2 linked regions of the Macaca fascicularis genome follow. The protein of the gene in region 1 purifies or fractionates together with the protein of each later gene. This does not show direct contact. Links are inferred from orthologs where the notes say so. Each region holds a gene or a part of one and is shown on either strand. Other genes may lie near its edges.

Region 1 (10,967 bases):
CCTTGTGTCTACTAAAAATACAAAAATTAGCAGGGTGTGGTGGTGCATGCCTGTAATCCCAGCTACTCAGGAGGCTGAGGCAGAAGAATTGCTTGAACTTGGGAGGTGGAGGTTGCCGTGAGCCGAGATCATGCCACTGCACTACAGCCTGGGTGACAGAGTGAGACTCCACCTCAAAAAACAAAAAAAAAAAAGAAAAAGAAAAATGTTATACATAAAATTGCAACAAAATTTTTTTCTCTCAGTTTATCTACATAAACATTTTCAGCCCAAGTAAATATAAATAGATAAACATAACTATATAAGCATATGCATATATTCAGGAAAATAAAAGATTTGGGGAAACATGATAGCTTTCAAATATGTGAAGGACTTCATGTGGAATGAAGATTAGATTTGTTCTGTGTAGCTACATGGTAGAATTAGAACTGGGGTGAAACAGGTGGAAGTTTCAGGGGAACATTTTTCAGTTTATCTTTAGGAAGAATGTTTTAATAATTAGAACCCTTTGAAAGAAATGGATACCCTCACTGGAATTACTGCAGAGAGGATTCCAGGAGATTAGCCTAGATGACCTCTAAGTTTCTTTCCAACTCTGACACTTGAGTCATGTGTCATAACAAAACATATCTGAGGGATATAGAGAAAGGTAAGTGAATTTTACAACAAAAGAATTGTTACCAACTGTGGTTGTTTAAGGCCTGTACTGAGTAGAGTCCAAGGAAACTGTTAGGTCTGTATTGATAAGTCTGAGGTTCTCTTATCAAGGAGGCAGGATCTGAATAGAATACTGAAGGGGACAGGAGAATCCTGTAAGGGAGTCACCCGAGACTTTTACTAGGGAGAATATAATTACTGCAAAAGTCATAGCTAAAAGGGATACATCTCAGAAATAGGCTAATTGGATAAAGCATGTATGCCTGCCATAGGAGGGGTGGAGGTTGGAGGAACAGGAGACGGAAGAACATTAGGCAATTATAATCCAGGTTATCCTGGAAAATAACTTCGAAACACTAGGTGAAATGTCTATTTTATTTGAAACAGAGACTCCCTCTGTCACCCAGGCTGGGGGGTGCAGTGTCGCAGTCTCCTCTCACTGCAACTTCTGCCTCCTGGGCTCAAGCAATTCTCCTGCCTCAGGCTCCGGAGTAGCTGGGATTATAGACGTGTGCCTCCAAGCTCAGCTAGTTTTTGCACCATGTTGGCCTGGCTGGTCTCAAACTCCTGACCTCAAGTGATCCGCCCACCTTGGTCTTCCAAAGTGCTGGGATTACAGACATGAGCCACTGTGCCCGGCCTGTTAGGTGAAAATTTTAGACTTAGACTTTGTACATAATGAAGGAGAGGAAGAATGTGGTCAAAGCTACGAGAGAAGTAGTTTCTGTTGAGTGAGTTGCTTGGTGCTAAAGGTAAGGAGTCTCTAGGAAGAAAGGGCTAGTAGCAGGAGAAACCAGCACAGCGATGACTTGAGCCTAAGCTAACACTGTGTCTTACATAATGCTGTTTATACAGATGAAGAGGTAGATATGAGAGACACTGTAAAACCGTAAAAAGTATGGCAATAGCCTAGAAACACAGACCGGTGAAGTCAGGGATTAGTGAGGCATTACAGCTCCTTCCTTCTGGAAAGAGTGGTATTGCTCCTGTAATAAGGATGATGAGGATGAAGAATATCTGTGTCTTCAGCACGCCTTGTTGCTGTTGGTGATGTGTCTGATCTTTTATGCTGGCCTCTGGCCATTGCTCACATAAGGCTGTCCCTGTGCTATGTGCACCATCTCTGCTACTTTCTTTCCCTGATTTCGGCCCCTGCCTGGAGCTCTCAGCTCTCTCAATTCAGTCTAAAACAGAATATTTGGGATTATTTTGGATGTTGAGTTGTTGTGGCAGTAACCGCTGCTTATGGTAATGAACCTTAGGTAATTCTCAGGCAAGTCACTTTGGCTTGCTTATACTGAGGTGAAATAGTTTCCTGTACCTAATTAACCAAGTCTCTCTAGTCTATTTCCCTACTCTCCCTATTCTGAAAGTTCTCTTCACTTTAAAAATGAAAGAGTAGAGCTGGGCACCATGGCTCACACCTATAATCCTAGCACTTTGGGAGGCTGAGGTGGGTGGATTGCCTGAGCTCAGGAGTTCGAGAACAGCCTGAGCAACAACAGTGAAACCCTATCTCTACTAAAATACAAAAAAGTAGCCAGGCGTGGCGGCGTGTGCCTGTAGTCCCAGCTACTCGGGAGGCTGAGGCAGGAGAATTGCTTGAACCTGGGAGGCAGAGGTTGCAGTGAGCAGAGATGGCGCCACTGTACTCCAGCCTGAGACTCTGTTTCCAAAAAAAAAGAAAGAGTAGAAAACGCTGGCAAGATAATGGATGTAAACTAAGTTTCCACTTACATAGTTGCTTTAGTCTATATAGGATCTTAAGAATCAACGGTAGAGGAAATCTTCATATGTAAAACAAAGGTATTATGTAATACTTCACGTATACTTTGAAGGTGTTACCCAGGTAGGTATGACGAATAAAGGGATTATATGATTCTACAAGTTTTTATTGGTTGGCTGGTGTTTTTGTTTTTAGTTATATACAGGGTGGCAGGTAGAGGGGGCTCACCTGAATAAATACTTTATAATTTGTCCCATGATCTAAGTATATATACATATATATATATAATTTGAAAAAGTTAGGCTTGTAAAACCTAAAATCATTATGTTTTTTGTATTAATAGTATATGCATATATGACACTAGTTATATGCCAAATGTTGTTTTAAGTACTGTATATATCTATAGACTAATTTAATTTTCACAATATTCCTATAAGGTAGATACTGTTTGTTATCATCATCAGTTTACAGGTAATGTACTGAGACACAAAAAGGTTATGTGCTTTGCCCAGATCAAATAGTTCATAAGTATCAGGGCCGAGTGATGAACCCAAGCAGTCTGGCTTCAGAGTCCCTGCCCTTAGCCACTGCACTCTACTACAGGCTGAGCATCCCTTATCAGAAATGTTCAGACCACAAGTGTTTCAGATTTGCGAATATTTACATACACATAATGAGATATCTTGGGGATGCGACCCAAGTCTAAACACAAAATTCATTTATGTTTCATATATACCTTTATAGACATAGCTTGAATGTAATTTAATACAATATTTAAAAAATTTTGTGCATGAAACAAAGTTATGTTAAGTACTTATGTGTGAAATGTTCCACCTATGGCGTCATATTGGTGCTCAAAAAATTTTGAATTTTGCAGCATTTTGGATTTTGGATTTTCAGATTTGAGATGGTGAACCCATATATTCACCTATTTTTTTTTTTTTTTTTTTTTGAAACGGAGTCTTGCTCTGTCACCCAGGCTGGAGTGCAGTGGCCGGATCTCAGCTCACTGCAAGCTCCGCCTCCCGGGTTTACGCCATTCTCCTGCCTCAGCCTCCCGAGTAGCTGGGACTACAGGCGCCCGCCACCTCGCCCGGCTAGTTTTTTTGTATTTTTTAGTAGAGACGGGGTTTCACCTTGTTAGCCGGGATCGTCTCTCGATCTCCTGGCCTCGTGATCCGCCCGTCTCGGCCTCCCAAAGTGCTGGGATTACAGGCTTGAGCCACCGCGCCCGGCCATATTCACCTATTTTTATATAGTATGCATGAATTAGCAGAGAAACCAAACCATTACCCCCAAATTAAAATTTTCTCCCATGATGAAAATCAAACAGTGAACCAAATTCTGGCTCTGTGACATCTTTATCCCTTGTGAATGAATTTTTTTCAGTAGTTGCAAACACTGGGAATTAGAAGAAAAGAAAGGTATTTTAAACACAGGGAAATTTTAATCCAAATGGAAAATTCATATTTTATCCAGTGTTTACACATAGTGTTTCCGGAAGTTCCCATTTTGGAGGTAATTTCAGTTATTTCTGGCCACACCCTGGATGGCAATGGAATAATTTCATAGTGCTTTTATAACAGGCAATATCTACGTCAGTGGATGGTTCATCTAAGTTCAACCTGGTTCAGGAAAGATATGCAAAGGAGAGCTCCATCCACCTCCTCTCCCAACCCTACCTTTCCAGTGGTTGTTTTGTTCCTTCTTTGCAGTGGCTCCCGTCCTGTCTAATTTAAGCAAAATTTCAGTGTTTTTTTTTTTTTTTTTTTACCTCCATTAACTTATACTTTTCATAAAGCAAATTGGGAAGCCAAAAGAATAACAGGAGAATGATCGAGCTTTTTGAGAATTAAAAAATTTGAATTAACATTAAGATGCAAGTAAGCACCGTGGGAGAGGGGCATGGCGAGTCAATTGTATATAGTATACGTGTGTGTATAAAACACTTCTTTCCTGCCTCATTCACCCTCTTTAGACCGCATAAGCTAACATGAGTAAGTTCTGACTCAGAAACAGGGTCAAAGATGTATATTTTTTCTCCTTTGTCATCAAAAGAAGACCTGACCACGTGCACAGTGTATAAAGGATGCCAGTGGGAAGATTAACTTTACTGTCAGGCATTGTAAGGGAAACAGAAACTCACATGTGGTGAGATAGGAGTTCAAGAGGAATTCATGGTAATATAATATGAGGAATGGGGCTACAATTGCGTCCCCAATGAGACTATAGAAGGCACACAATCCAGGCGAGTGCGATTTAACATCATGAAATAATCTCCAAAAATTAAAATCAAATAAGGTAGCATTTTACTCTCTTCTTGTAAATTTTATACCATTTTAATTTTTACTGGAGGCCTGCTGCTGACAAGGGTATTTAAAGGGATCCCCCTGGGCATTTCAGAGATCCTCAACTGGATGGCAAGGACCAAATAAATGCCTTGTGCTTTTCTGCCCCACCTGTGCCTGCACCTGAGGGGCGCACGCGGGGGCACTCAGCCCTCGACTCACTGATTTGACAGGTGGAAGTGGGATGGGGAAGGCCGGAGACCGACCAACCCCAAAGGCAGTAGCGTGTGGAGCCGAACGTGGGAGGGGGTCGGCTGAGGCGGATTGAGGGGTGGGATGCCGAGGTGCGGCGACAGGACTCGGAGGACGAAAGACTGCAGCAGCGGTGGTCGCCAACTGAGGTGGGCACTGGGGGACCCACCCTGCGAAGAGGCGGGGGCGGGGGCGCGGCGCGGCAAGGCGGGGCGGCAGCCGGGAAGCCCTCCTTCCCAGCGGCGGAGGTGACTGGCGGGCGGGGGGCGGGGGGCGGGAGACGCTCTGTCCCACGCTTTCCCAGCGCTCGGTGGTTTAAAGATGGCGGCGGCGGCAGCGGCGGCGTTTGGGGCGCGGAGCCGCGGGAGGAGGAGGGAAAAGCAGAATCTGTGAGTCGCCTGGAGGCAGTGCGGCGGCTGCCGTGAGGAGTCCGGGTGCGGAGCCGCCGGCGCCCCAGCCTCTCAGGGCCAGGGTCTGGGCTGGGAGGGAGAGGCCGGAGCAGCGCCAGGAGCCCGAGGCCGGAGTCGAGGAGGAATGTGACCAGGGGTCGGCGGGGGCGCGGGAGTACGCGAGAGCAGGGATGGGGCAGCAGGTGGGCCGCGTCGGGGAGGCTCCGGGGCTCCAGCAGCCTCAGCCCCGCGGGATCCGGGGCAGCAGTGCAGCCAGGCCCTCCGGCCGCAGGCGGGACCCGGCGGGGCGCACCACAGAGACCGGCTTCAATATCTTCACCCAGCATGGTGAGTGTGTCCGGGAGCCGGCGTGAGGGCGTGCGGGAGGCCGGGGGTGGGGTCGGGGCGGGGTGGGTGACGGACGGGCTGCCCGGGGGGTCGGGGGTGGAGGGTGCCTGAGAGTGGGGGCGGAATCTGCTGCCATCTGGTTCAGTCCTGGGAGGCGAGTCACACCCCTCCCCCCTCGCGTCTCCAGCTTGGCTGGCAGATCCCGGGGGCGGAGAAGGAAAGAGAAGTGGGCTTGGGGACCCTGGATGGTCTGTCCTCTACTCTGGGACGGGACTATGCGGCTGGAGAAAGAGAGTGAATGGCAGCTTCAGGAGAGGGAAGGATGAAGGGCAGTATGAGCTCAGTCCCAGAGGTGGGAGCATAAACCCGTCGTTAGTGAAGGGGAAATGGGTTGTGTCCTAAGGGACTGGGAAATAGGAACCGAATTTCAGGAGATTGTGGCGTAGAAGGTAATGTGTTTACGTCAGGTGATGAGCAGTGTCACGATAGTGAACTGTGGAGTGCCCAGAAATGCCTTTCTGTAGGAAAGATGAAGGTAGCATCTCATCACTTTTGACATGCTTTTGTGGTTTGTTTTGTTTTGTATTTCGTTTTTACTAGAAGTGAAAGGCTTTGCCAAAGCCTCTGTACTATGCTTCAGAGTAGGACACACAATTCTGAGATTGCTGGCAAGGGTTAGAGGTTGGTGGGCATGGTTAGGACTTCAGTCAGTATTTTTCCCCTTCGTAGTGTGTGTGTGTTCGCGTGCCCATATACATACTTACATGTATGTGTGCTCCCTGTAGTCTGAAACCTATTATTTTGATCTCATTGTCAATGTATTTTTAGAATAGTTGTCTCCAAACTGTTGTTGTTTTTTTTTTTTTTTTGAGACAGAGTCTCGCTTTAGTGCGCATTATGGAGTGCAATGGCGGGACCTCGGCTCACTGCAGTCTCCGCCTCCCGGATTCAAGTGATTCTCCTGCCTCCCGAGTAGCTGGGACTGCAGGTGCGCACCACCACGCCTGGCTAATTTTTGTATTTTTGGTAGAGACGGGGTTTTGTCATGTTGGCCAGGCTGGTCTCGAACTCCTGACCTCAGGTGATCCGCCTGCCTTGGCCTCCCAAAGTGCTGGGATTACGGGTGTGGGCCACCTTTCCTTGCCGCAACTCTTTTTTTTTTTTTTTTGAGACAGAGTCTCATTCTGTCACCCAGGCTGGAGTGCAGTGGCACGATCTTGGCCCACTGCAACCTCCGCCTCCCAGGTTCAAGTGATTCTCCTGCCTCAGCCTCCTGAGTAGCTGGGATTACAGGCGCCCGCCACCATGCCTGGCTAATGTTTTGTATTTTTAGTAGAGATGGGGTTTCACTATGTTGGCTAGGCTGGTGTGGAACGCCTGACTCATGATCCACCCGCCTCAGTCTCCCAAAGTGCTGGGATTACAGGCATGAGCCACTGCGCCTGGCCACATGTCTCCTATTAAAGATGTGCTTGAGTGTCTCTTTCAGGTATATGAACACTTTGTGAAGGTGATATATGAGCTAATCTTTATTAAAATGACTTCCTAAAACATAGGATGGAAGAATGGATTAGTAGTTTACAGGGAAGAAATCATCCAAGTAAGCTTCACTTTGTGGGAAGTGTTACTATGCATTAAACTTGGCCTAGTAGGCAGTGATGATCCTCCTCCTCTACTATCTTATTCGGTATATAAGATTTTCCAAGAAAGAGGAAGTAGTGAAGAATGGAATAGGAAGACATTTTGAGGATTTGGATCCATGGAGAGGGAGAACAGGTTGGGCAGAAGAAACAACTTGAGCAAGAACATGGGAATAGATATAATTTGATGATAGGATAGTGAGGAGACATCTGTCAGGAATGAAGCATCATTATGAGTTGGAAGAAAAAGATCATAGAGCAAAAATTGGAAGAGTCGAGTTCTGGTTCTGGCTCCACCTGGCTGGGTGATTTTAGTCACCATCTTTGGGTTTCTTTATCTGTAAAGTGAGGAGGTTGGACTGGATGATCTCTAAGATACTTTCTGATTTTAAGATTTTATGATTCTAATTAAGAAGCAGTAGAAAGAAAATTTTGATAGGCTGGATGGGACTGGGTTATGGAAAATCTGGCAGAGAAGTTTATATTCGTTTACCTGCTTGGCTAGTCTTCACCTGAAAGACTGGCCTTGAGTGGTGGCAGTGGAAATAGGAGGAGTAATTTCAAGGGGCCTTTCATTCATTCAACAAACAAGGGGTTTTTTTGAGCACCTATTACATACTAGGTTGTGGGAATGTTGCTGTGAACATAACAGAGTCCCTGCCCTTTGGAACTTAAAGGACTTTATGATTTGATAGAGGATGAAAGAAGAGAGATCACTTTGGAGTATTTGTTAAGGGCATGAACTCTGGACCCATTTTTCCTGGATTTGAAACCTTGCTTGGCTGCTTATGAGCTTTGTGACCTGGGACAAGTTATTTAACTTTTTTGTGCCTTGGACTCTTCATTTGTAAAGTGGTGATAATAATAGTATCTAGTATTAAATGAATAGTGGCTGGGCACGTAGTATGAGCTAAATGTGTGCTAGCTGCTGCCATTACTAATACTACTGTTATTATTAAAAATAGGGATAATTCAGCTGGGTGCGATGGCTCATGCCTGTAATCCCAGCACTGTGGGAGGCCGAGGTGGGTGGATCACGAGGTCGGGAGTTTGAGACCAGCCTGAGCAACATGGTGAAACCTTGTCTGTACTAAAAATACAAAAATTAGTTGGGCATGGTGACACGTGCCTGTAGTACTAGCCACTCAGGAGATTGAGACAGGAGAATCACTTGAACCCGGGAGGCAGAGGTTGCAGTGAGCCAAGATCGTGCCACTGCACTCCAGCCTGGGCGACACAGCAAGACTCTGTCTCAAAAAAAAAAAAAAAAAAAAAATAGGGATAATTCAAAGATGACACCAGGATTCAGAACCTGGCTAACTGGAATGATGATGATTCTATTGACAAGTTTGGAAGTTAGAAGCTGATTGAAAAAATGGGAATAGGGCAAGTTTATTGCCAAAGACTAGTATGAAAAGAAAGGAATTAGCAAATAATATAGGAAACAAAGATGAAGTGAGTACTGTTTTTTAGACAGATGAGTTTTAAAACTTTTTTTCTGTAGATCATAGTTTCTTAACCTTGCCGGCATTGTTATTTTGGGTTGGCTAATTCTGTGTTGTGGGGGGCCGTCTTGTGCATTGTAGGATGTTTAGCAGCATCCCTGGACTCTACCCACTAGATGCCAGTAGCACCCTCTTTTTGCCCCTTACTTGTCACAAGTAAAAATGCCTACAGACATTGTTCAATCTCTTGGGGGGAGTGGAATTGCCCCTAGTTGAGGACACCACTTAGAAATGTGATAGATTCTGAACTGAATGAATGAATGAACTAGATTCATAAGCTTCTCAGTGGATGTATCATTTGACATTAACATGGTAAATCTAGATGCTCGAATCTAGTGTACAAATTACTGTCTTGAGTTTGCAGTATTAAGGTATTAGCACATAATTTCATATATGAACGTTAGGTCTGTTAGACTCCTGAGGTTTTTTTTGTAGGTTTTAATGTAAGCCAAATAATACATTTAGTTAATCAGTAAAAAGGTACATGCATTATGGAAATGGTTTGTCAGAGTCCAGGACTTTTCTTTCTTTAGCTAAAATGGTCATTTTTCATTGTTAATAATATGTGGGTAAGCTGTGGTGATAATTGGCCTTGCCAAAAGTGATTTTTGTGAATATACTTTAGAAGGAACAAAATAGGGCCGTTTTTGGTATGAAAGGAGTGAGTGCTGTGTGACTTTTCTGAGCTCTGCTATTTTTTTTTTTTTGTAAACACTTACTTTTATTTATGTTTTATTTTAGAGAAAAGTCTTGCTCTGCCACCCAGGCTGGAGTGCTGTGCTGCGATCATAGATCACTGCAGCCTTAAACTCCTGGACTCAAGTAATCCTCCTGCCTCAGCCTCCCGAGGAGCTGAGACTACAGGCACATGCTACCACACCTGGGTAATTTTTTGTATTTTTTTTTTTTTTTTTTTTGTAGAGACGGAGGTCTCACTATGTTGCTCAGCTGTTCTCAAACTCCTAGGCTCAAGTGATACTCTGCCTCAGCCTCCCAAAATACTGGGATTATAGGTGTGAGCCACCGCGAGAGGCAAGCTCTGCCATTAAACCTTTTTGGTGAGCTGATGTTTTGTGACTAATAATCTAGGGTTGAATACTTACTTGTCTGTATCACATATATCTTTTAACAGTTGAATGATTTTACTTCAGCTTCCGTCTCTCATTTTCTAAAAATTCTATTAAAATTTAACATTAGGCTGGGCACAGTGGCTCACACCTGTAATCCCAGCACTTTGGGAGGCTGATGTGGGTGGATCACCTGAGGTCAGGAGTTCGAGATCAGCCTGGCCAACATGGTGAAACCCCGCCTCTACTAAAAAAATACAAAAATTAGCCAGGTGTGGTGGCGGGCACCTGTAATCCCAGCTACTTGGGAGGCTGAGGCAGGAGAACCCCCTGAACTCAGGAGGCAGGGTTTGCAGTGAGCCGAGATCGTGCCACTGCACTCCAGCCTGGGCGACAGAGCAAGACTCCCTCTCTAATAAAACAAACAAACAAACAAACAAAAAACCTTAAATTATGAAGTTTGGAATAACAAAAATTTTTCCTTAAACTCATTATTTTAAGTGATCTGATTTATTTATTTATTTATTTTATTTTGGATCTGTGTTTTTTTTGTTTTTTTTGTTTTTTTTTTTGTAGTGAGGTAGGGTCTCACTCTGTTGCCCAAGCTGGAGTGCATTGGCGAGATAATGGCTCACTGCAGCCTGGGACCTCCCAGGCTCAAGTGATCCTGTCACCTCTCAGCCTCCTGAATACCTGGGACTGTAGGTGTGTGCCACCATGCCTTTCTCTCTCTGTCTCTTTTTTTTTTTGGTAGAGAGAGAGTTTTGCCATGTTGCCCATGCTGGTTTTGAACTCCTGGGCTCAAGTGATCTGCCTGCCTTGCACTCCCAAAGTTCTGGGATTACAGGTGTGAGCCACCACACCCGGCCAGTAGTTCATGTGGAATGAAGGCTGTCAGCACCCCAGGTTGAAAACGATACTATGGAAAGGACAGGAAGGCTGTTGCAAGGGAATTTTAATTATGGTGACTTAATATAAGAACTAAACTTCATTTTTTATTTTTATTTATTTTTATTTTTTTCTTGAGCACCAATCCTGAAGACTAAACTTTTAAAAATAAGTCAGCTGTTAGATTTTTATTAACCTCCAAATCTG
Region 2 (11,272 bases), on another chromosome or scaffold:
GGGTGCGATAGCTCATGCCTGTAATCCCAGCACTTTGGGAGGCCAAGGTGGGTGGATCACCTAAGGTCAGGAGTTTGAGACCAGCCTGGCCAACATGGGGAAACCCCATCTCTACTAATAATACAAAAATTAGCCAGGTGTGGTGGTGCACATCTGTAGTCCCAGCTACTTGGGAGGCTGAGGCAGAAGCATCATTTGAACCGGGAGGCAGAGGTTGCTGTGAGCCGAGATCATACCACTGCACTCTAGCCAGAGCGACAGAGCAAAACTCCATCACAAACAAACAAACAAACAAACAAAAAAACCCAAAAAGGCAATGTCCACAATTTCTACCTCCCAGTTGTCATGTCTGACAATGTGGGCTGATGTCCCTCTGTGCTCAGTGCCTGAGGAGAGAACCTCTGGGGTCGTCCTCCACGGGGGGACAATTCCTTCCTTCCTGGGGATGGCCCACGAGAGGCTGGCCTTACCCAGACCCCAGAACCTAAGGGACCTGGGGGCCAGCAGCCTCGGTCCCTGCACTGTCCCCAGGTTGCCTGACGCTGCCAGGGACCCCCTGTGCTGCTACAACCTTGGAGGCGCCCTCACCTCTGGGTACCGTGAGCATTGTGTGGCCAGCTTCCCTCTCGGCAGCTTCCCTGGCCATGCACGCCCCCTCGTGGTTGGTCGTCGGCACTTTTCCTTGTTTGGATTTGCTACCTGCTCTGGGCTTCCTTGGGGGCTGCCCCGGCCTTTGTGGGTGACTTAGAATGGAGGGTGGAGTTGGAACCTGCTGCCCTGGTTTGCGTGGGGGAGCCTGTAAGGACTTGCTGTATGACATCCTGGGAGTCACTTTCCTGAACCTCAGTGGGCCCAACAAGCCACGGCCAGGTAAAGCTTTTGTGACGGCCAAGAGTTTAGTGCAGAGAGCATGGTTTCTGAGCCCCCTCTCCATTCTGGAAGCTTATCTGCCAGCTGGTGTATCTCCCCAGAGATGCTGGAGGGCCTGGGAGGACTCCAAATCTTGGGGAGAGACTGTAACTTGGGTACTTTCTCCCCAGGGCCTGATTTCCGGGGGAATAACCTCCTATAACTAGGTGTCAGCAGATGGGAGCCCTGTCTGGCAGAGAGTAGATTCCAGGAGAGAGTTAGCAGCCCAGCTCTCTCCTTCCCTTTCTGCCATGAGCTCTGCTTGTGCAAAATCACCCATTTTGATCACTGAAACACTTCTGGGAACCGAGCAGGGCAGCAATAGTGTCCCCACTTTACAGATGAGAGTACTGATGCTTGCAGGTGCAGGTCCTTCGGGTGTCCAGGACAGGGGTGGGCTCTGAGCCTTTGTTGCTGTTCCGTGGCCTTTCTAAATCCTCCTGACACCTAGGAGCCATTGGAACCTTTTAGGGTCTGGAAGTCTCAGCCTGGTGGGGGCTACTGGGGTGGAGCCCTGACTCAGTCACGCCCATGGGGGGAAGGGTAAAAGGAGCCGAGACTGTTACCCTCCCCATGTCAGAGGTTGGGCATCCATCAGATTCGCCCCCACTTGGCACACTCCCCATTGCAGGCTGGCTCACCCTCAGCTGGGTGAGAAGAACAAGAGGCAAGGGGCCTTGGGCACACAGTCTGGGGGTCCCCCGAGCCCCCTCATCTTTATTCCAGTTCCTCAGATGTGGCAGTTCCCTCAGCTTCCCTGGAGACAAGTATCAGACAAAGGTGGTGGCAGACACTGGACAGGGCCCTGGGTGGGGCTGCTGGCGCTAAAAGGACTTCTCAGCAGGCGCAAGGTCTCCCGCCCCAAACGACCCTTCTGGCCACTTCAAGCTACTCCTCTGCTGCCCGGCTTCCCTCTGCCTCTGGCTCCCCTGGCTGAGCAGGGCCTTCACGGGCTCGACCCTGGCCCCCTTCAGCAGTTGTGTCAGACTCTTCCCGAGTGTCCCTGGGGCTGGCTTTGACCCCAGCGTCCTCATCTCCCTGGCACCCTTGCTCCTCCCCTCTGCTCCTTGCCTCTGACTGCCCTCTGCCCTCCTCCTCTGTTGCAGCCTCCTGGGTCTCAGGCCACTCTGCCCGGCGGTAGACAAGGTAGCCAGTGGTGGGCAGCCTGCGGGCCAGGGCTCCAGGGGGCAGGCGGTGGTAGCCCTGGTCCTTGTACAGGAAGAGGCCAAAAGTGTTGGGCTGTGTCACTCGGAACTTGGTGGCACAGAGCTGGTTCAGGGTGGCGATCGAGGCCTCTGGGGGCACGGCCAGGGTCTTGGAGGTGCAGCCACTGCTGGGATCCTGATAGGCTACTCGGAGGAGGTGCTATGCAGGAGGAGAAGCAAAAACAAGTACTCAGCCCTGACTGGCATGCATCTGGCTCCAAAGCTGAGGGACCAGTGTGGGCTGTGCAGGGACAGGGTGGGGAGGTGGAAATCCAGTGGGAGAACCAAGTGGCAAAAGCTCTGTGAGCTCCAGGGGTCGGCTTGTGGGCCACAGTTGAAGGTGCAGGACAGCCCAGTGGGGAGCTCACAAGCCTGAGACGAAGCTTTGATAGTGCACACTTTGTGCCCCAAGTACTCTCCTGCATTAACTCATTTAATCTTTACCTCAACCCCACGAGGTAGGTCCTATTACCCCATTGTACTGATGAGAAAACTGAGGCACAAAGTAGTTAAGTAACTTGCCCAAGTCCCCACAACCCAGTGGCAGAGCTGGGATTAGAACCCGGGATCTGGCTACAGAGTCTGGACTCTTCACCAAGGACAGGAAGGTGAAAGGCGGGGATGGTGTCTGGCTCTGAGGACACGGTGGAGGGCCTGTTACCTGGAAGCAGTGGGTGGCAGGCAGGCGGCGCTGCTCCCAGAGGCTGAGGGAGCGCCGTAGCTCCTGCGAAGGACTCAGTGGGAGGGTATGGGCCTGACCCAGGCCACTCAGCAAGGCCAGGCTGGCAGACAGGCTGGTCAGGTAGTAGCCACCTGGGACACAGGGTGGAATAACACGGCTCAGGCTGGGTGTGGGGCACCCATCCCCTCTCCCCTTCCCTGCTTATTCAGGGCCCACCCAGGCAGGGAAGTGGGTGGGGGTCCCTCACCCTCTCCGGTGAGCAGGCTGGGCTCCAGCAGCTCTGACATGTACTCGGCCTCCAGCAGCAGCTCAGGAAGGTCACAGTGGGCCAAGACGAGGCTCAGCAGAGGCAGGAACTCGTCAGCACCCGCGTCCTCCCCTGTGGGGACATGGTGAGAGGAAGAAGCTTCAGGTGCAGTCCTTGCTTTAGGCAGTGACCCCTCCCCATGGCCTAGCAACCATGGCAGGGCTTCGGAGAGAACGCACTGCTCTCTGGGCCTCAGTTTCGCAATCTGCAAGATGGGAGGGTGGGCTCATTCTCTCCCGCAGGGCCATTCCAGGGTCCTGGGGACCTGCCACTGGGGGTCCCACCTCCAACTCAGAGGGGCAGGGCAGGGTGAGGTGGTGGCAGAGACATACCCTCCTGGGTCCTCAGGGCCATGTAGAGCAGCTTGCAGGCCTGCAGGAGCCGCTTCACCTGGGCGCTGGGTGAGTAGGTGCGGAGCAGCTGCAGCAACTTCTGGCGCACCTGCTCCATCTCTACTGGGGAGGGCAGGCTCAGGTGGGACCCAAAAGCTCCGGGACCCTGGGCCCGGGCCAGGCGGAGGCCCTCAGCTAGGCGGCCCAGGGAGCCGTCTGCGGCAAGCCGGCGCCGCACGCGGGCTGCCAGGATGGGCCGGAGAGGCTTGAGCACAGAGCGATGCAATGACTTCTCCAGGACATGTTCTGCCAGAGGAGGGGCAGGGAGGGGTCAGGGGAAGACTGGGGAGATGGGGGACAGAGGCCAGGGGAGATGGGGGACAGAGGCCAGGGGAGAAGGGAGCAGGGGTAGAATCGGGGAGGAGAGGCAAGGAAAGCAGGAGGAGGTAGCCTGGGTGAGACAGAAGAGTTTGGGGAGAGAGAGGATGGAACTCTCTCGAACAGTGGTAAGACAGGGTGGGTTTGTAAAGCAGCAGAACAGAATCAGACAGGCTGGCGCTGTGGAGGGGAGCAGAGGGTCGGATGGGGCAGTGCTGGAGCTATGGAGAGACGGAGCCTCACCCAGCCTTTTAGGCGGCAGCAGCTTCTCAGGGCCCAGCTCCACGCTCAGCATGGCCCGGGCCCGGCTCAGTGCCTGACGGATGCCCTGCAGCTCCTGGGGCTCAGGCCCGGCCCGCACCTGGGTCAGTAGGTCCTGCACCAGCTGGCCTGCGGCTGTGTGTCGGTCCTGCATCAGTGCCGCCGCGGCCCGGCCCACCTGCCGCTCCGGCGCCAGTAGGGAGCAGAAGGCGGCACTCATGGACCGAAGCAGAGGCCGCCGGCGGCCCAGGTGGGGTGAGGTCGCTGGGCTCCCCCGGGACCCTGGCGCCCCCTCCTCCTCGGAGCTGCTGGGGGAGCCGCAGTCCACCTCCTGGAGGGAGGGCATAGGCGGAAGGCTAGGGTCACCGCCTGCTGGCACGCGGTACCCCACTGAACTCTCCCTCCGCAGCAACTGGCAAGGGGGCAGCCGCTCTGTCTGGCTGGGGACTGCCCCTGGCAACACAGGGACCGGGGGAGGCGGCACGGCAGGTGGAGACAGGGGGCTGGAAGTCTCTGTGGACACGCGCACTTTGAAGCTTCTCTTGAATTTCTCCCGCTTGGTGGGCCCCAGGTCCCCCGGGAACAGGGGGTTGAAGAAGCACAAGGCGGCTCCGGTGCCCTGGTCCAGCTCTTGAGGGGACCGGGCCTTCAGCTGGGGCAACACTGGGCCTCCAGCCGGGCCCCGCTGAGCCTTGATGTTGAGGGAGGAGCTCCAGAACTCTAGGGAACAAGAAACCAACTGGGGCCTCCAGGATTGGTTAGGGGAAGTTTCCCAACCAAGGAAAGGCATGGGCTTCGGGCCGTGTGCTGCGAGCCTTCCCCTCCCCTCAGCCTTTTCATCTGTGCAATGGGTGGCAAGGAGCTCTTACCAATGCCCAGATGGGAGATGGCCTCCAGCTCTTTGTGGGTGGCTGCACGGTGGATGGCTCTGGGGAGCTGCAGCGGGAGGAGAAGGATGTCCCTGAGGCCAGAGAGGGGAGCAGAAGGGAGTGAGGGCCGAAGGGGGTGGGGAGGATGGGCTGTCCCAAGGAGCAGGGCCCGTGGACACCGGGCACCCTGCAGGCAGACTCACCGGGTGTGGCAGTAGGCACAGATGAGCTGGACTAGGTCTGGGAACATGAGCTCCGAGCCCTCCAAGGAGACGCCTGAGAGAGGAGGGAAGTGAGGTGCTTCTCTAGGGAACCTCCCTCCTTCCAGCCCCTTCCTGCCAGGCCAGCCCCTCACCGCCAGGGCTCTCCAGGATGTAGTGGCTGGAGACGAAGGAGGGGCCGCTGGCTTCGGGCAGTCGCATGCACAGGGCCTGGCACTGTCGGGTGTTAGATTTCCGCACGAGGAACGTCTGCAAGTGGATAGGGCTCAGGCAGCTCAGGACCTTGGCATTCCACCCTTCTCCCTCCCACCCCTGGCTGGCCAGTCCCTGGAGGTTGGGGGCAAGACTCACCCCCGGGGGCTCGGTCCTCAGCACGTGCAGTGCCGCGGCTGCGTTGGCTTGCAGCTGCAGCCACACAGGCCGGGTGAGCAGCAGGCGCTCCCGCAGGCTCACAACGCGTCCCGGCCGCTGTGGCCCGCCTGCCTGCCCGCCGCTGGCATTGGGCACGTCATACAGTGGGTCCTGGGCTGGCCTGAGGGCGGGCATCCAGATCTGAGCAGGGAGCCAGGGGCTGGGACCCTTGCTCTCCTCTTCCCCGCTCCCAGGTTTCCCACCTTCTCCATCCCCAGATAGACCCTCTTCTCGCAGCCCCTCCCTGCCCCACCTGGCTGCCCTGCCAACTTCACTAACTTTTCTGTCTCCAGGTGCCCAGGAGTGAAGCTGGATGGGCTGGGGGCTCCCGGAGGGCCCGTGCCTGACTCTCCAGGGCTTTCCATGGCTGGGAGCTCCTTCGGCTTCAGGAAGAGAATCCAACCCCAAGGCAAGGCACGCACATCCCCAGTGAGTAACACTTCCTGAGGGCGGTCCGCCTGTCACACCCGCCTGTTAACTCTTGTGTGTCCACCCCGCCTGGCCAGTGCCTGCCTCCTCTGTTCTGGACCCTGCTTCGGGGGTCAGGGATCCCCTCCGTGCTAGCCCTGCTCTGAGGGCCCCAGCTGGGGGGTGCCACCTCCACACAGGGCCTCCTGCAGCCTCACCAGCTCCTCAAATTGCACAGGTGGGCGGGAAGTGGTTAAACGGCCGACTCAGTCCCCGCAGGCCCCAGCCACACTCTGGGGGCACCTCTGGGTCTGTGGTCAGTTGCTCATCTGCCCCTGGCCTCAGGTCAGCCTTGTGGGAGAGCACCCTCTACTGTCCATAGATGACTCATTCCTGAACATGGGTTTTAGGATTTTAGGTTGCCATGGAGAAAATATGCCACGTCTCCATGGAAACCAACCTATTTGCTTAACTGAGGTTCTGGGGGTGGTTCTGACACTCAGCACTAACCAGGGGGAGTCTGGCTGTGAGGTCGTTAGCACATGGTGCTGCTGCCGGCTGCCTCCTACGCATGCAGGCTCTGCCAGCCTGCCTTGCCAATCTGCCAGGCAACTGGGACAGGTGCAGACATGACCCAGGCTTCAAGCACACGCACCCATCCTCCCCACCCGAGGCACTCCGCTGGCGCCATATGTTCTCTGCCCAGTGCCAGGCAGCCCAGCGCCCACCTCCCCCTCCCCAGTGTGGCCCCACGCACAGTGCTCCAGCCTCTGCTGGGCAGTGCAAGGAGTGGCAATCTGCAGGCACCTCAGAAGTCAGCCTGGTTCAGGTGCTCCCCACAGAAGCCCTGATTCTCTTGCAAGGTAAATCACACATACACGGGGCACACCAGAATCCCAGGAAAGGTTTTAATTCTAGTCCTTGAAATCTGAGAGGCAGACACCAAGAACTGCCCTGAGAAAACCTGGGGGGCCTGGCATCTCGCCTCCAGCCCCAGCCAGGGTGGACAGCCCCCCTAGATATCACGTCTGACTCAGAGTTCCTGCACAGTGGGGCCTGGCTCCCTGGCCCTGAGGCCGGAGAGCCTGCATCCAAGGTCAGCAAGAGGATGTGGCTTTGACTTCAGCTGTCTTCTCTGTCAGGGGAGCCCCAAGAGGCGGATCTTCAGGAGCGGGAGGTGGCAGGCGGCTCAGGGATGGAGACAGCAGCCTTGCCTGGCCAGGTCGGCTCCACAGCCACAGCTGTGCAGGCCTCGAGGAGGGCAGAGGAGGAGTCCAGGCCAGTGCCAGCGGAGTGGGAGGGCCCAGCAGCACCACAGGAGCCTGGCTGGGCAGACCCTGAGGGGCCTGTGGGTCTGCCTGTCTGCAGCAGGAAGATGAGAATCCTGGGTGCGGTGCCAGCTGCTCTGAGGGTCCCCCTGGCTCTGAACAGCAGGGTCACGGTCCTGTGCGTATGTGGGAAGGAGAAAACTGTCACCAGTGAGGAAGCTGAAAGGAGGGGGGCAGCCACTTACTGAGCGGAGTGACTTTGGGCTGGCCCAGGACAGGCCTCCTGGGCAGCTCCACGGCCCTCCCTGACCCCTCCTGAGTGGGAGCTCCATCAACCCAGGCTTCCCCAGCCCCATCCTGGTTCCTGCTCCTCAAACTCCCACAAGCCCCTCAAATCTAGACCATCCTAACTTTCTTGGGCCACTGATTCTGACACAGCCACAGCCTCTCTCTGGGCTCCTTCCTGGAGGCTGAGCTGAGGGAAGGTGATGGCAAGGCGGGCAGGGGAGGCCGTACAACAGCCATAGTTCTTACCATCCGATTTTCTCTTCTGAGGGGACACAGCTGCCCTAGCCTGGGTGGATGAGAAGAAAAGCCCCCCTGAGAGCCCACCTACAGCCTGGCAATCCCTGCCCCACCTCCCACCTCTGTGGCGTGTGGGCTGCTGCCTTAGTGCTATGCCCCCAGGGCCAGGAACATAGGGCCCCCCAAGCCAGAGCTCCCATGCTCCTGACCGCTGGCCAGCTCAACGGCTCTCCCGCCTCCCTGCCCCCCTCCCCCCTCCCACCCCATCAAAACCTGCCCTGGAACAGGAAGGGGCTGACACAGACTAGAAATCCCTTCTCCCAGGGCCGCCTTGAGCAAGAGGACTTGTGAGCCAACTGCGATCCAGGGACCCTGGGCTGAAGATGGGGGAGCCTTGGTGAGCAGAGAACTCCCAGGCCTGCAGATGGCAGAGCTGCTGCCAGGGTGGGGGGCCCTGAGGTGGGGCAGGGCACATGGGCAGCAGCGGCCCCACCTTTTTGATGGCCGTCCAGTCCTCCAGGATGTCGATCTCTTGAAGCATGTACACGATGTATGGGCCTGTGGTGGGGGTCAAGGAAGCCCAGTGGAGGCGGCAGGTGACGAGGGCAGGGCCACCCACCTGACATTCAGGAGTGGGGGTACAGCAGACAGCATGAAGTGGGAGCTGAGGATCTGGGTCCGAGCTCAGGTTCCACCTCCTACCTCTTCTCCCCCCAGTTCCAGGGTCCTCCTGGAACCAAGTCCATGGAGGACACCAAGTGTTGTTCCCCATCCCTTGCTCACCCTCACCTCGTCTTGAGGTCAGCTGGCTGAGGCCCATCCCATCTCACCCTGCAGCACAGCCCTGACCTGGCCCCTTCCCCGATCCAAAGACAGACGCAGGGCTTCTCCCTTCAGAGACAACTCCCCTTCCCCACAGTGCTCCCTACCTGATGTCTCCATGCCTTCACCTCTCATTCGCTCAAGTCACGGCCTTCCAGATTCCTCCCTCCCTGCCTGGGCCTGCTCTCCAGCACCAGGTGGCCATAATGACTAAGGCTGGCTGCTGCAGGAATGCCCTCAGGGGCACAGGAGGACTCAGCTCTGCCAGGACAGATGAAAGCACAGCAGGCCCTGGACTAAGCTTAAGCTAACCCTGCCTAGGGAGGGGCGGAGGCAGCTGGTGCCCTCTGGGATGTGGGCACCCCATGGTAGGGCACAGGAACACACAGGAGAGTGAAGCCATAGGCACTGGAGTAAGACCGGAGAGGCCTCACAGAGGAGGTAACGTTTGACATGAGCCCTGGACAGTCAGGACAGGCAGGACTTCCAAGAGGAGGGTGGGATATGAGCAAAGGCTCCCCAGGGAGAGCTGGGGACCCGCTCAGACAACCCCAGGAGATGGAAAGTCCTCAAAGGCCAAACCTCACTCAGGCTCGAGTGCAGTGGCACATCATGGCTCGCTGCAGCCTTGATCTCTCAGGCTCAAGCAATTCTCTTGCCTCAGCCTTCAGAGTAGCTGGGACTATAGATGCACACCGCCACACCTGGCTAATTTTTGCTAATTTTTCTAGAGACGGGTTTCACCATGTTGCCCAAGGTGGTCTCGAAATGAACTCCTGGGCTCAAGCAATCTACCTGCCTTGGCCTCCCAAAGTGCTCGGACTATAGATGTGAGCCACTGAGCCTAGCCCGTTTCTGTTTTCCTAGGGTCCACATAGCCCAGAGAGACCCAAGACCCTGTAAGAAATTGCTGACAGCTGGATTTGCCTGGACATGGTCACATGACACCAAGCAACCACAAGTGCATCTAGTGCGACTGTCCTCCATGTCCCCTCCAAACCTCTCCCCCAGGTCTGGAGGTGACCCTAACATCCTGCCACCTTTTAGGCCACCTTAGGTGAAAGGATACCAGAAACCAGAGGTGCCTTCTTCCTCTTGCTGGGCGGCAGGGAGTCCCAAGACCTGGAGCTGCCTCTGGCGTGCAGTTTGTCGTCCCACCATTCTGCCCCCAGACCCAGAGTTAGAACTGGGGTGCTGGCCCACAGGACACTCTCTCTTCTGTAGCCTCTGCCCCCACCATGGGCCAGCCTGGCCTCATATCCCCTGCCCCATCACAACCCTGGGCTTGGGGTAGGAAGCCCCTTAGGGCTGTTCAGGTCCTGCCCGCACAGCTGTGCAACCCCGGGAAGAGGCCGCTGCACTTCTGTGAGCCTCATCTGTTTAGTGGACAGTGGGATGACAATTCCTGCCACCCCAGGACTCCACATGAACACAGGTACTATGAACGTGGAGGGGACTAGAGCTATTGCATGGGACTGCATGTCACACTGATACCTGTTTTGGAAAGAGCAGGGGCAGAAGAGGGCAGGGAGACCCACTCTGCCCGAGCCCCTACTGTGTGCCAGGCCCTTTCCAGGCCTGGTTTCCTTCAGTCCTCACACTGACCCCAAGAGGCAGGTCCTCTGACTGTCCCCTTGACTTCAGGACATCTGAAGTCTAGAAAGGGGTGGGCGTTGACAGAGCCAAGCCCAGGGCCGGGGTGCCCGGGCTCTCGCGCTCACCAGAGCTGAGGTCCAGGCTCTGGCGGTCCTCCTCCAGCCTCTGGATCCGCTCCTGCAGCTCCCCCTGCAGTGTGTCATAGAGCAGCAGCTTCTCACTCTGGAAGAGGGGGCAATAGCTCAGCAGGACGGATGGGGAGAGCTCACTTCAGGCCTTGCGCCCCGCCTTGTCCCCAGTGTGCCCAATCAGGCCCACCTCCAGGTGCTGTTTGGCTCCCTGCAGCTCACATTCATACTTATTCCTGATCACATCCAGACAGAACCCCTTGTAGATCCCTGCAGAGAAAGGAAGGAGGGACCCTGCTTGGCTGGGGAGCCTGGTGCCCACACAGGAGGGCTGAAAGCAAAGGGTGAGGCCAGGGAGGAACAAGAGAAGAAGGGGACAGGGTGCCATGGGTTCTGGGAGGGGAAAAAGGCACAGAACCACCCACAGACCTGCCACCTGAATGCGAATCTTGAGGCTCTGCTGCAGCCCCCCAAGGGGCTCCGTGTATTCAGGGGCTCTCTCAGCCCCTACTTCCTCCAGCCGCAACCGCAGCTGACTCAGTCGTTCCCTGAACAACCTGGGTGGTAAAAAAGGCAGCCGTGCACCCATTTGCTCACCTATTGCTCTTGGGCAAACACGTACCCAGCACCCATTCCACAGCAAGCCCTGTGTTAGGCGTGCACTTCCTGGGCACCAACCACGCCTGCCCAGTACCAGGCCCACCACCTCCTCATCCCAGCTCCTCGCAGACCCAGCCCAAGGTGTCCCCATGCTCACTTCTCCTTTAGCTCCGAGAACTGCTTTTCTAGGTCCAGCATCTCACTGACACACTCGCTGCGGCGCCGCTCATAGTCCTCATCGTCCATCTCTGGGACAAGAGGCCAGTAAGGGCTAGCTCTGGGGAGGGGTGGTGGGTACCCACATGTGTGCATGTGCGTCCTTCATGTGTGTGTGTGTGCATGCGTCCTTG

What was found.
Region 2: the proteins of ABL2 (region 1) and RIN1 purify together in Homo sapiens (co-immunoprecipitation; 3 studies listed by BioGRID and IntAct, counting the BioPlex papers as one, with this or other methods). This does not show direct contact. The link is inferred for Macaca fascicularis from reciprocal best matches to the Homo sapiens genes ABL2 and RIN1.

The regions. Positions count from the first base shown.
Region 1 is NC_088375.1:36,735,438-36,746,404, reverse strand, and holds the start of ABL2 (tyrosine-protein kinase ABL2), read left to right. Parts: upstream 1-5,235; 5' UTR 5,236-5,503; coding exon 5,504-5,660; intron 5,661-10,967. UniProt on the Homo sapiens protein: Non-receptor tyrosine-protein kinase that plays an ABL1-overlapping role in key processes linked to cell growth and survival such as cytoskeleton remodeling in response to extracellular stimuli, cell motility and adhesion and receptor endocytosis.
Region 2 is NC_088388.1:8,061,340-8,072,611, reverse strand, and holds RIN1 (ras and Rab interactor 1), read right to left. Parts: upstream 5,976-11,272; 5' UTR 5,941-5,975; coding exon 5,855-5,940; exon of another isoform or gene 5,829-5,854; intron 5,717-5,828; exon of another isoform or gene 5,711-5,716; coding exon of another isoform or gene 5,697-5,710; coding exon 5,516-5,696; intron 5,414-5,515; coding exon 5,299-5,413; intron 5,220-5,298; coding exon 5,147-5,219; intron 5,036-5,146; coding exon 4,944-5,035; intron 4,795-4,943; coding exon 4,057-4,794; intron 3,742-4,056; coding exon 3,436-3,741; intron 3,176-3,435; coding exon 3,044-3,175; intron 2,928-3,043; coding exon 2,776-2,927; intron 2,275-2,775; coding exon 1,798-2,274; 3' UTR 1,587-1,797; downstream 1-1,586. Other genes in the region: BRMS1 (breast cancer metastasis-suppressor 1), read right to left, coding at 7,420-7,427, 7,786-7,825, 8,270-8,334, 9,668-9,760, 10,320-10,416, 10,513-10,592, 10,752-10,879, 11,080-11,170. UniProt on the Homo sapiens protein: Ras effector protein, which may serve as an inhibitory modulator of neuronal plasticity in aversive memory formation. Can affect Ras signaling at different levels. First, by competing with RAF1 protein for binding to activated Ras.